Linked DNA regions of Macaca fascicularis. The protein of the gene in region 1 binds, or shares a complex with, the protein of each later gene. Links are inferred from orthologs where the notes say so. Each region holds a gene or a part of one and is shown in the gene's direction. Other genes may lie near its edges.

The links.
Region 2: IGF2BP1 (region 1) and G3BP1 share a complex: the UniProt entries of both Homo sapiens proteins name them as parts of the TAU mRNP complex. The link is inferred for Macaca fascicularis from reciprocal best matches to the Homo sapiens genes IGF2BP1 and G3BP1.
Region 3: IGF2BP1 (region 1) and ELAVL4 share a complex: the UniProt entries of both Homo sapiens proteins name them as parts of the TAU mRNP complex. The link is inferred for Macaca fascicularis from reciprocal best matches to the Homo sapiens genes IGF2BP1 and ELAVL4.

Annotation. Positions count from the first base shown.
Region 1 is NC_088390.1:57,675,997-57,679,649, reverse strand, and holds part of IGF2BP1 (insulin-like growth factor 2 mRNA-binding protein 1), read left to right. Parts: exon of another isoform or gene 1-933; intron 934-939; coding exon 940-1,221; intron 1,222-2,755; coding exon 2,756-2,890; intron 2,891-3,653. UniProt on the Homo sapiens protein: RNA-binding factor that recruits target transcripts to cytoplasmic protein-RNA complexes (mRNPs). This transcript 'caging' into mRNPs allows mRNA transport and transient storage.
Region 2 is NC_088380.1:158,647,839-158,651,491, forward strand, and holds part of G3BP1 (ras GTPase-activating protein-binding protein 1), read left to right. Parts: intron 1-532; coding exon 533-629; intron 630-2,262; coding exon 2,263-2,464; intron 2,465-3,653. UniProt on the Homo sapiens protein: Protein involved in various processes, such as stress granule formation and innate immunity. Plays an essential role in stress granule formation.
Region 3 is NC_088375.1:184,544,809-184,548,461, reverse strand, and holds part of ELAVL4 (ELAV-like protein 4), read left to right. Parts: intron 1-2,865; coding exon 2,866-3,019; intron 3,020-3,653. UniProt on the Homo sapiens protein: RNA-binding protein that is involved in the post-transcriptional regulation of mRNAs. Plays a role in the regulation of mRNA stability, alternative splicing and translation.

The DNA of each region.
Region 1 (3,653 bases):
AACTTCAAGATTTTACCAAATGTTGCAAGAACTCTGGAATCCTTATGGTAGGAAAATGCCATAAAGAAAATCCTCTATTAAAAGAATGTCTAACTGCTCACTACAATGATCCAGCCTTTTATGAAGAATGCAAAATGGAATACCTGAAGGAAGGAAAAATTTAGAAAAACTGGAATTTCTACAAAGAGAAGGCTACAGAAACTTCCTATAAGCCTGTAGGCAAACATTCAAATCATATTCAGGAACTCTAATATTCATGGAAGTCATTTATAGTATAAATTTGCTTAAATAATGGACTCAAGAATGTGTGTTTGCTCTATCTTAATTATGGAAATATTAATTTTTGCCTGAAAGATTTTATTTCAAAAACAAAAATAAACCCCACACTTCTTTAGGGCAGGATTAACATTTGAATTCTACATATATACATCTCAATCTCCTTTGACCTTGGTTTCATTGTCTCCAAAGTTAGGATAATGTAGTAGTTAGCAGTCGGTTTCCTCACCCTGTGGTAGGGATTCCTCAATCCAGAAAGTGTACGTGTTAGCTTTGCAGAGCCTCTTCAGGTCTGTGGTATGCTCTCCAGTTGGCATGGGAGGACTTTGAGATTTATGGCTTGCTCTTCCTTTTTAGGCTGACAGAACCCTATACTCTGTTGGACTAGAAGCCCATTTCTCTGATGGTTCCAGTGGAAGGCCTTTGTGAACATTAAATCCCAACTAAGTTAGGGAACACTGTATTTATTTACTTTTCCTTTGGAGTCTGATGCCATTTAGACTGGAAAGTTCTATAAAATGGAGGTGGGAGTAGTGGGCAGGCGACTATCTCCTTTTCTTTAGTGTGTTCCAAGCTGTAACTTACTAGAGTGCTTTGGCCAAGAGAGCGTCTGGTATGATTGGCATGGATTGGAATGACTGTAGACTCTCACTCTGTCCCCAGAGCCATCATGAAGCTGAATGGCCACCAGTTGGAGAACCATGCTCTGAAGGTCTCCTACATCCCTGATGAACAGATAGCACAGGGACCTGAGAATGGGCGCCGAGGGGGCTTTGGCTCTCGGGGTCAGCCCCGCCAGGGCTCACCTGTGGCAGCGGGGGCCCCAGCCAAGCAGCAGCAAGTGGACATCCCCCTTCGGCTCCTGGTGCCCACCCAGTATGTGGGTGCCATCATTGGCAAGGAGGGGGCCACCATCCGCAACATCACAAAACAGACCCAGTCCAAGTGAGTCCTGGCTCTTGGGAAATGGAGGCTGGTTGCTAGGGAACAGTGGTTGGTACCTAAAGAGGCCCACTAGAAGCCTGGAAGCATGCTGGGGACATCAACATTTACCTTTTAGGAAATGTTGCCTGGAGCATTCAGGGGTCACTGCTTCCAATACCAGCCTCCTGGGAAAGGGAGGGCAGATAGGGAGGGAGAATGGGTCTTGGGGTGCTGGGCCACACACTTGTTTTAGCAAGAGAGGTTCTATAATTTTTCGTGCAGTTTCATAAAAAAGTCTCCAAGCAAACCTCATTTTGATGAGTCAGCCACTCCTCAGTCCTCTGTGATTTCATGACCACTTAATGTGGTAACAGGGCTGGCCAACCTGTCCAAAATTAGGACCCTCATTAATTGTGTCCCATCTCCCATTCTGCCACTGTTACCTTCTTTCTCTAATCTTTTCTTTTCTTTTTTTTTTTTTGGAGACAGTCTCGCTCTGTTGCCCAGGCTGGAGTACAGTGGTGTGATCTTGGCTCATGGCAACCTGTGCCTCCCGGGTTCATGCCATTCTCCTGCCTCAGCCTTCCGAGTAGCTGGGATTACAGGCACGTGCCACCATGCCTGGCTAATTTTTGTATTTTTAATAGATACAGGGTTTCACCATGTTGGTCAGGCTGGTCTGGAGCTCCTGACCTCGTGATCCGGCTGCCTCAGCCTCCCATAGTGCTGGGATTAAAGGCATGAGCCACCACACCAGGCCTTTTCTCTAATTGTTATATCATATCAGTGTACTCAGTGGCAAAGGACATGCCACATTATGTCCTTATCATAGTAACTCTTGTTATTTACTTTGAGTTTGGGGCACTGTGTCCTCTCTTTATATTTGTTTCAAGGGGGACATACGAAATTCAAGTGGAAATGCAGCTTTGGAACTGTGGGCTGGTAGTTCCCACCCCTGCATTTGTGTAATTCCCACCCCTGCTGTGTTCTTGTCCCCAGCCACCACTTATTTATTTATCTATTTATTTATTTTTTATTTTTTTGAGGCAGAGTCTCACTGCGTCACTCAGGCTGGAGTACGGTGGTGTGATCTCAGCTCACTGCAGCCTCCTCCCAGGTTCAAGCAATTCTTGTGCCTCAACCTGTTTAGTAGCTGGGATTACAGGTGTGCACCACCACACCCAGCTAATTTTTTTGTATTTTTAGTAGAGACGGGGTTTCACCATGCTGGCCAGGCTAGTCTCGAACTCCTGGCCTCAAGTAACCCACTCGCCTTGGCCTCCAAAAGTGCTGGAATTACAGGCATGAGCTACCGTGCCTGGCCACCAACCACCTGTGGATTGAGGCATTGCTGGTCTGAGAGAGAATCCATAGTAACAGATGGGTCATGTCTCTCCAGTCCTTTCATTGCCCTTCCCAAATTTGAACTTGATTGGCCTTGTTCCAAGAAGAGCAGGTTCTATGCCTTTGACTGAGGAGTGGTAGTGGGGGTGGGGAGCCTGAAGTACTGGTATCACTGGGGACGACTAACCAGCCTTGTTCTTGTGGCCCCCAGGATAGACGTGCATAGGAAGGAGAATGCAGGTGCAGCTGAAAAAGCCATCAGTGTGCACTCCACCCCTGAGGGCTGCTCCTCCGCTTGCAAGATGATCTTGGAGATTATGCATAAAGAGGCCAAGGACACCAAAACGTAAGTCTCCAGCTTTTCTTGGCTCTTCAGGGACTGGTAGTCCAGTTAGCCTCCCCAACTCAACTTCCAAGCTGTAATACAGACATATAAGAAATACAGTCAGCAATTGCACAAAAAGATGTAAACTGAGAAATCTTCTTACAGGGACTCTGTCACCTAGGCTGGAGTACAGTGGCATGATCTCAGCTCACTGCAACCTCTGCCTCCGGGTCTCAAGGGATTCTCCCGCCTCAGCCTTCCGAGTAGCTAGGACAACAGGCATGCACCACCACGCCTGCCTAGTTTTTTGTGATTTTTGTAGAGATAGGGTTTCGCCATGTTACCCAGGCTGGTCTTGAACTCCTGGACTCAAATGACCCACCCAGCTCAGCCTTCTAAATTGCTGGGATTATAGGCGTGTGCTGCCATACCCCACCCCTTCTTACTCCTGTTGTATGACCTCCTAGAAATTCTGTGCACTCACAAGTGTGTGTATATTATGTATGCGTGCCTACATGTATGGTTATGTGTGCCTGTGTGTATTCATGTGTGCACATGTGTTTTAGCTCAAAGAGAATCACACTGAACAGGCTGTTCTATATTTTTTTCATTTTCTGTATCAGCACGTATATTAGTACATATGGACAGACCTCATTCTTTTTATAACTGCATAGAATTCCACAGTATAGCTTATCCATAGTTCATGTGATCAATCTCCTATTTCTTGATTGGTGTTTAAATTGTTTTAAACTTTTCCTTATCATAAAACAGTGATGCAAGGAAT
Region 2 (3,653 bases), on another chromosome or scaffold:
TTAAAAACCAAGACACTACAGTAGCCTTAAAGTCTATCCTTAAGGCCGAGCGTGGTGGCTTACGCCTGTAATCCCAGCACTTTGGGAGGCCAAGGCAGGCGGATCACGAGGTCAGGAGATCGAGACCATCCTCGCTAACATGGTGAAACCCTGTCTCTACTAAAAATAGAAAAAATTAGCCAGGCGTGGTGGCGGACGCCTAGCTACTTGGGAGACTGAGGCAGGAGAATGGTGTGAACCCGGGAGGTGGAACTTCCAGTGAGCCGAGATTGCGCCATTGCACTCTAGCCTGGGCGACAGAGCGAGACTCCGTCTCAAAAAAAAAAAAAAAAACAAAAAAAACAAACCAAAAAAAGGTCTATCCTTAAAAGCCTTAGTTCTGTCCTTAAAGTCAATGCCATGATTTTTACCAAATTGCCCTACTTTATTTATATGTGTTTTTCTTCACTGTTGTTTTGTGAACATTGTGAAAGTGAATGTATATGTGAATTCAGTAAGTACAAATTATTTTAAATATCTTTTTCTCACTTAGAATCTGAAGAAGAAGTAGAGGAACCTGAAGAAAGACAGCAAACACCTGAGGTGGTACCTGATGATTCTGGAACTTTCTATGATCAGGCAGTTGTCAGGTAAGAAAATTTTGTTCACATGTCTGCGGCTGCATAAGAACTTGCATTGTCTAGTCTTTCCCTTTGTTGGAGGGCATTTACATATTCTGAGAATTACCTCAAAATAATAATTTCTTAGAAGAATGGTTTTGTTTCTGGTAATTTTGAGTAAACAAAAATATGTAGCTTATTGTTAATAATAAATTGTACTGTGAAGGCAATCTACTATTGCTTAGTTTAAATAATATCGGTTTCTTTTTGGTTCAATTTTTTCTTGGTGTTAAGTGAAAACTTGCATATTGTTTATCAAGAGTTGGATGTATTGAGGTATTAAATGCTTTGACGGAATATGAAGTGGACAGACACCTATTAGAGATTGGGCATAAATTGATATAAATACCAATATGTGAGTTAAGTAGCAATAAAGAATTTCATTACCTTTGTAAGTGCATCATTGTACCTTTGGGTTTTTTCCCCCCTTGTGATTGGAACAGAAATGTATTTGATAGCAAAAGAAATCCATATTTACTTGTTACCATGTGACACTGAATGTTAATATCAGTGCCTGAAGGGTGTTTTCAAGTGTTTTTCAAGGTGTGATGAACTAATCAGGTTACTCACTTGGATTGCTGGTTGAAAATGAAGATTCATGGTCCCACTGCAAACCTACTGAATTAGACTTTCAGGAGGCAAAACATCTGCAGTTTTGTTTTTGTTCTTTTGAGACAGTCTCGCTCTCTTACCCAGGCTGGAGTGCAGTGGCATGATCTTGGCTGACTGCAACCTCTGCTTCCTGGGTTCAAGCAATCCCCCTGCCTCAGCCTCCTGAGTAGCTAAGACTACAGGCGCATACCACCATGCCTGGCTAATTTTTGTATTTTTGTAGAGATGAGGTTTCGCCATAGCCAGGCTGGTCTGGAACTCCTAATCTCAGGTGATCTGCCCACCTTGGCCTCGCAAAGTGCTAGGATTACAGGTGTGTGCCCAGCCCCTCTGCAGTTTTAACAGCATTCCTGGTTTGATTTATGTGGAATTTTAAGAATTGTATTCTGAATCATAACTAATATATTTTCTCCCCCAAATTCTTTACGTATTTGAAAGTTTTTGTGTGTTTGTGTTAAAAGCCACATATCATAAAATTTGCCATCTTAACCTTTTTTTTGTCTTAACCATTTTTAAGTATAAAGTATAGTAGTGTTAACTGTATAGATACGGTTGTATGACAGATCTCTAGGACTTTTCACCTTACAAATCTTATTGAAGATAACTTCATATACCTTACAAACAGACTGTACCTATTGAATGGCAACTTTCTTTCCCCCCTCCCCCAGCCTATTTTGAGAGTTTTTCTGATGTTGTATGCTAAATGAATTGTAATGATTGTGGGATTCCAGCCATAAAGTGGTTTGGTTCATTTTGATGTCCTGATTCATTTGCTTATCAGAATTTGCCCAAATGGATTCCAGTGAAGTTATTGAGTGGCATTTTAAAAATTACTTTTTAAAAACTCAGATATACAATTCTTAGCTTTTTTTTTTTTTTTTTGAATAGAGGGAGCTAACTCTATGTTCTGGTTTCTGGTTAATAAATGATGGGGAATTTTTTGCGAAATAAATGGTGGCAGAATGATATTTCTCAAATTTTTCCATCAAAGTAATGACATGGAAGAACATTTAGAGGAGCCTGTTGCTGAACCAGAGCCTGATCCTGAACCAGAACCAGAACAAGAACCTGTATCTGAAATCCAAGAGGAAAAGCCTGAGCCAGTATTAGAAGAAACTGCTCCTGAGGATACTCAGAAGAGTTCTTCTCCAGCACCTGCAGACATAGCTCAGACAGTACAGGAAGACTTGAGGGTATGAAACATGTCTTCATTTTTATTCTATTTCTAGTTATTTTTTAAAAAAGAGAAATCTCTGTTCTGTATTGCTGTTCGGTTGACTTTTGTAGATACATTTTCATATTGGTGGTTCATTTCAGGGAAATTTCTTAGATATTGAGCCATGCCTTTGATAAGAGAGAGGTAAGATGTGTATTAGTTTATTTCATCAAAAAAAACCACTCCCTTCCCCTAGGTAACTTGAATGCCTGTTAGACTAGAAAGTTTAGGTGCCACTGTAGCACCGTGTCAGTGATTCCTTATCTTTTTAATATTCAAGCTTTTACACTATAAATTATTACATGCTTGTTACTACAAATTTATAACATCTTTTTAAGGAAAACAACATGGCAGAATATACTTTTTCTATGAAATTTTTTTGAAGATAACTTTATAGTGGAAGTAGGAATGAACTGCTGAAGTAAGATTTCTTTGCTAGTTGGCATACCTGATTTCGGAAGTTTTCAGTTTGTCCTCCTGAGTCTTATTAGGGTGTTGTTAACTGAACTCATGAAACCTTTACATTTGGCACTCTGAGAAGGAATATAATTTTTAGTGCTGTATTGATAGGCTCAGGGTTATGTCATTTGTTTGTTCAACAATTAATTCAAATTCCTGCTGTGTGTTAGGCATTGTTCAAAGTGTAGGTATTGGCAAAACAGATAGGGGTTCTTGCTCTCTGGCAGCTAATAGGTGAGTAGGAAAGAGCAATGTTGAAATGACTTTAGCTTGCAAGTGGAAAAAATTAGCTGGTCATGGTGATGCCTATGTGTGATCCCAGCTGCTTGGGAGGCTGAGGGAGGAGGATTGCTTAGCCTGGGAAGTCAAGGCTGCAGTGAGCTGTGATTATGTCACTGCATTCCAGCTTGGGAGACAGAGTAAGACCTTGTCACAAGAACAAAACAATAAGAAGCAAGTGGGAAAGTAGTTTGACTGGACCAGATGACCACTTAGTTGGTTATTATAGTAAACCTAGTAAGAGAGGATGATGGTTTGAATTAGAGTTGTGGCAGTGGAAATGGAAAAGAAATAATTAGGTAGAATAACAGGTTGTGACAATTTTTAAATGTGTGAGAAAGGTGTTCATGATGATTCTACAGTTGATATAATTGAGTCAATGTTTGTACCATGGATTGGATTGAATGACAGCAGGAAGAGCTGAGCTG
Region 3 (3,653 bases), on another chromosome or scaffold:
GTCCTAACGACAGAGGAAGGCTATTATCAGGCCACCATTCCCTGACTCCACCACCACCTTTCTCACCACCAGTCTCAGCTCAGCTCTGTCTCCTTCCTGGCCCTTTTAACCTTTGATTAATCTCTCCTTCCTCTGTGTTTCAGTCACACTCATACGTATCCCTGGCATAACACACACATCTTGTGGCACTGTGATAATTAGTCTGTGTGTTTACTCATCCATTCTTCTGTTCAACACATTTTATTGAGTGCCTCCTGTGTATTGTCTGTTGCCCTTTTTGGACTTGGAGTTCCTTTACAGCAAGAGACCATGCCTTGTTCTTGCTGTGTTCCCAGCACATACCACTGTACCTGGCTCACAGTAGATCCTGAGGAAATATTTGCTAAGAGAAGGCCTCTATGTGATGTCTAGTCCTAAAACAATCTTCTTTCAGTCCTTCCAACCCCAGGCACTAGAAAATGGGAAATTTGTCCCTTAGCTCTTAGCTTGGTGGAGAAACACAGCTGGGATTCTGGGTGCCTGACTCTTCAGCGGTCCACCTTACTAGAGCTACAGTTAACTCCAAAGAGCCAGTAATGCCAGCATCATTTCCCATGAGCTGTGGGTGTTTATTCTTTTTTTTTTTCAGTTGGTGTTGAATACTCGATAGGTATCAGGCTATGTGCTGGGAGCTAGAGCCACAGAGTTGAATAAGACACACACACACACAAGACCTACAACCTAAAGAGATCATCAGCCTCAATGGAGAGGTGATGAGTTAAGGTTGAAACAGGTTAAGTACCATGGTTCATTGAGAGCACTGCTGGGGAGATTATTTAGGAGAAGGTGAGATTAGAGAAAGCTGCCTAGAGAAGATGTCATTTGAGCTGAGCCCTGAAGAGGAGTAGGATTTGGACTTGGGGAAGTAGGTAGAAAAAAAAATGTCTGTATGAGCAATGGCATAAAAGTGGTAGGTTGTGTTTTGAGGGAGCACAAATGTCATTCAGATAATTAATTTGTCAGTAATTGGCAGGGTGAAACAAGGGTGACCCTCATTGCCATGGGCATATCACTATGATGTTTTTATTTCCTTCTCCTACCACTTCTTCCTCCTACTCAAAAAATGGTTCTGCTATTGACAGACTTGGTCCCTTAAAAAACAGGGGTGGGAGAACCTTCCGTGGAGTGAAACCCCGTCCAGACAGTCACATGGGGTTCTTAGTCCTTCAGCCCACACCCAAATGCACACACTGGGACCCTGTGTATAAAGGCCCCTCTACCTCTCAGCCATGTGCTGGGAAGGAGCCTCCAGAGGCCTCCCAGCCCACCTATGAGTTTCTAGAAGATGGAGATACTGAAGGCAGCTGCCTCACTCCATCAGCAGGAGGAGGCCAGCGAGGCAGATTAGTCACTCACATCATTTTATCTGTTGAGTCAACATCTATTTTTAGGTGTGGAACTCATAAAGGGACCTGGCATGTCTGTCATGGAAAGGGGGAGAGTGCCATGGATGAGGGTTCTGCTCATCCTTCATCTTCTTTGCTAGACCCATTCTCTTCCCTGAAGGTCACAGAAGCAAGGCCCACTTTACTGCTGGAGGTTTAGGTCTTAATGTCAAAGGTCTGGTTTAACGTGTTCAATTCCTTTTGCACACATGCTTTTGTGTGTATGTGCACACACACACACACTCTCACCCCTACAGTCTTAATAGGTCTTATGAATCAGTTATATGGATTAAATAAAACTTCCAACTGAAAAATGCTAAGGCATATAGGTCTCTTCCTGTCCAACGTTGTCAGATGTGCTCTGAAATGACTGTTTTCATCATCTATTCTGAGCCATAACCACCCCAGAAATAGCTTTAGCAGGAAAGTGCTTTTGTTAGACTAGCTGTAAATTATATTTCAAATGTCTGATGTTGTTTTCTTAAAAAATAAATAAATAAGTAAATGAAAGTCTAAAATTAATGACTGCTGGGGTTTGCTTTGCTTATGTGTACTGCTACAGATTTGGCTTCTTGCAGATGGAATTTCAGATCTGTTTACACTTCTGTGTTAGCTTTTTGGGGGAAAAAAAGCAGTTGAGAGATCTGGGAGGACAAATTTACAAAGTCGAACTTATTATAACCATTGGTGAGGCTCTCTTCTCTCTCTCTACTGCCCTTTCCCTCCCTCCTTTCCATCGTGCCCCCATTTTGTTTGTTGTGGTTTTTATCTGCCCTGCTTCAAAGTTAGAGGCAACTGGTCCTTGCAGATGTGACGACAAGGTCACATATCCAGTTTCGCAAGCAGATGTTCATTCAGCCCTATTTCACCAGCACTTTGTCATTCGTTGAAGAGCAGACCTCATGGGAGCAGACTGGAGCAACACAAAGGATGGAACATAAAAAAATCTTGCAGAAAACCTGATTGCTTTTATGTATTCAGGAAGAAGGGGATGGGGGTAGGGAGGGTGGCAAGGAGAGAAATGTGCAGAGCAGAATTTCATGAGTTTTTTTTTTTTTTGGTTTATTCAAAGATTATTATGTGTTGGATACAGTAAATCATCTATACACCCACATCCAGGAGGTAAATCTTCAGAACTCCATGCGTGGGTAGCTCTGCATTTAACAGCTGCCATACAGTAGCTATTTTGTTCTGCACTTAGAGACCCTTATCTGTGCATTTGTTTTAAGTTATCATCAACTCTCCTCTTGTTCCTCTATTGTTGTTCTCCTGGTTCTCATTACTATTAGAAGAGTAGCTAAAAATCTGAACTACTGAGTGATTTAAACTGACACCATTAGTTGTAACGGTAGATGAGGGACTGTCATCTTGTTTGTGGACTCGGCGTCTACTCTGAGGGTGATTGCCTATAATGGAATTAGCTCCTCTTGCCTTTTCCTAGGTCTCATATGCCCGTCCGAGCTCTGCCTCAATCAGGGATGCTAACCTCTATGTTAGCGGCCTTCCCAAAACCATGACCCAGAAGGAACTGGAGCAGCTTTTCTCGCAATACGGCCGTATCATCACCTCACGAATCCTGGTTGATCAAGTCACAGGTTAAGTGTTTCTTTGTAATTTCTTTCTGTGTATATCAATGTCATCAGCCCTGTTACTCATAAGAGCAGAAGGCTGATGGCTGCTTAAGGCAGATGATAGGGATCATGAATAGACAGATTTTTGACTTGGAAGAAAGACTTCTTATCGGTCAACTGCCCAAATTTAAAATGGGCCATCTTGGGAGGTAGTTCTCCATCATGGGACTTGTTTTAGCAGCAGCTAAACTACTTGGCAGGGTTGTAAAAAGGATTCAGGCATCAGGTTGAGAGTCGAACTATATGACCTTCAAAGTCTTTTTCAGCCCTCAACCAAATAACATTACTTTTGTATGTGAAAATAACCTGTATGCGTAGCTATAACTCCAACTCATGGCATTATAGAGTTAGGAATTGTCCCATTTCACACATGAGAAAACAGATTGAAAGTGGGGGATCTAACTCCCCAAAGCTAGTGAGTAGCAGTACAGGGATCTGAACTGAGGATCTGGTACTGGGGTTCTTTGTCTACAATAAAGAAAGGCAGCCACCACCTCTCAGTAAGAAATGTCAGGTACTCTAGGTTGCATTTTTAATGACAAGGTGTTTTCGCCTACCTCCAATTTGATTCCAATTTAGAACTCACCCCCTGAGAATA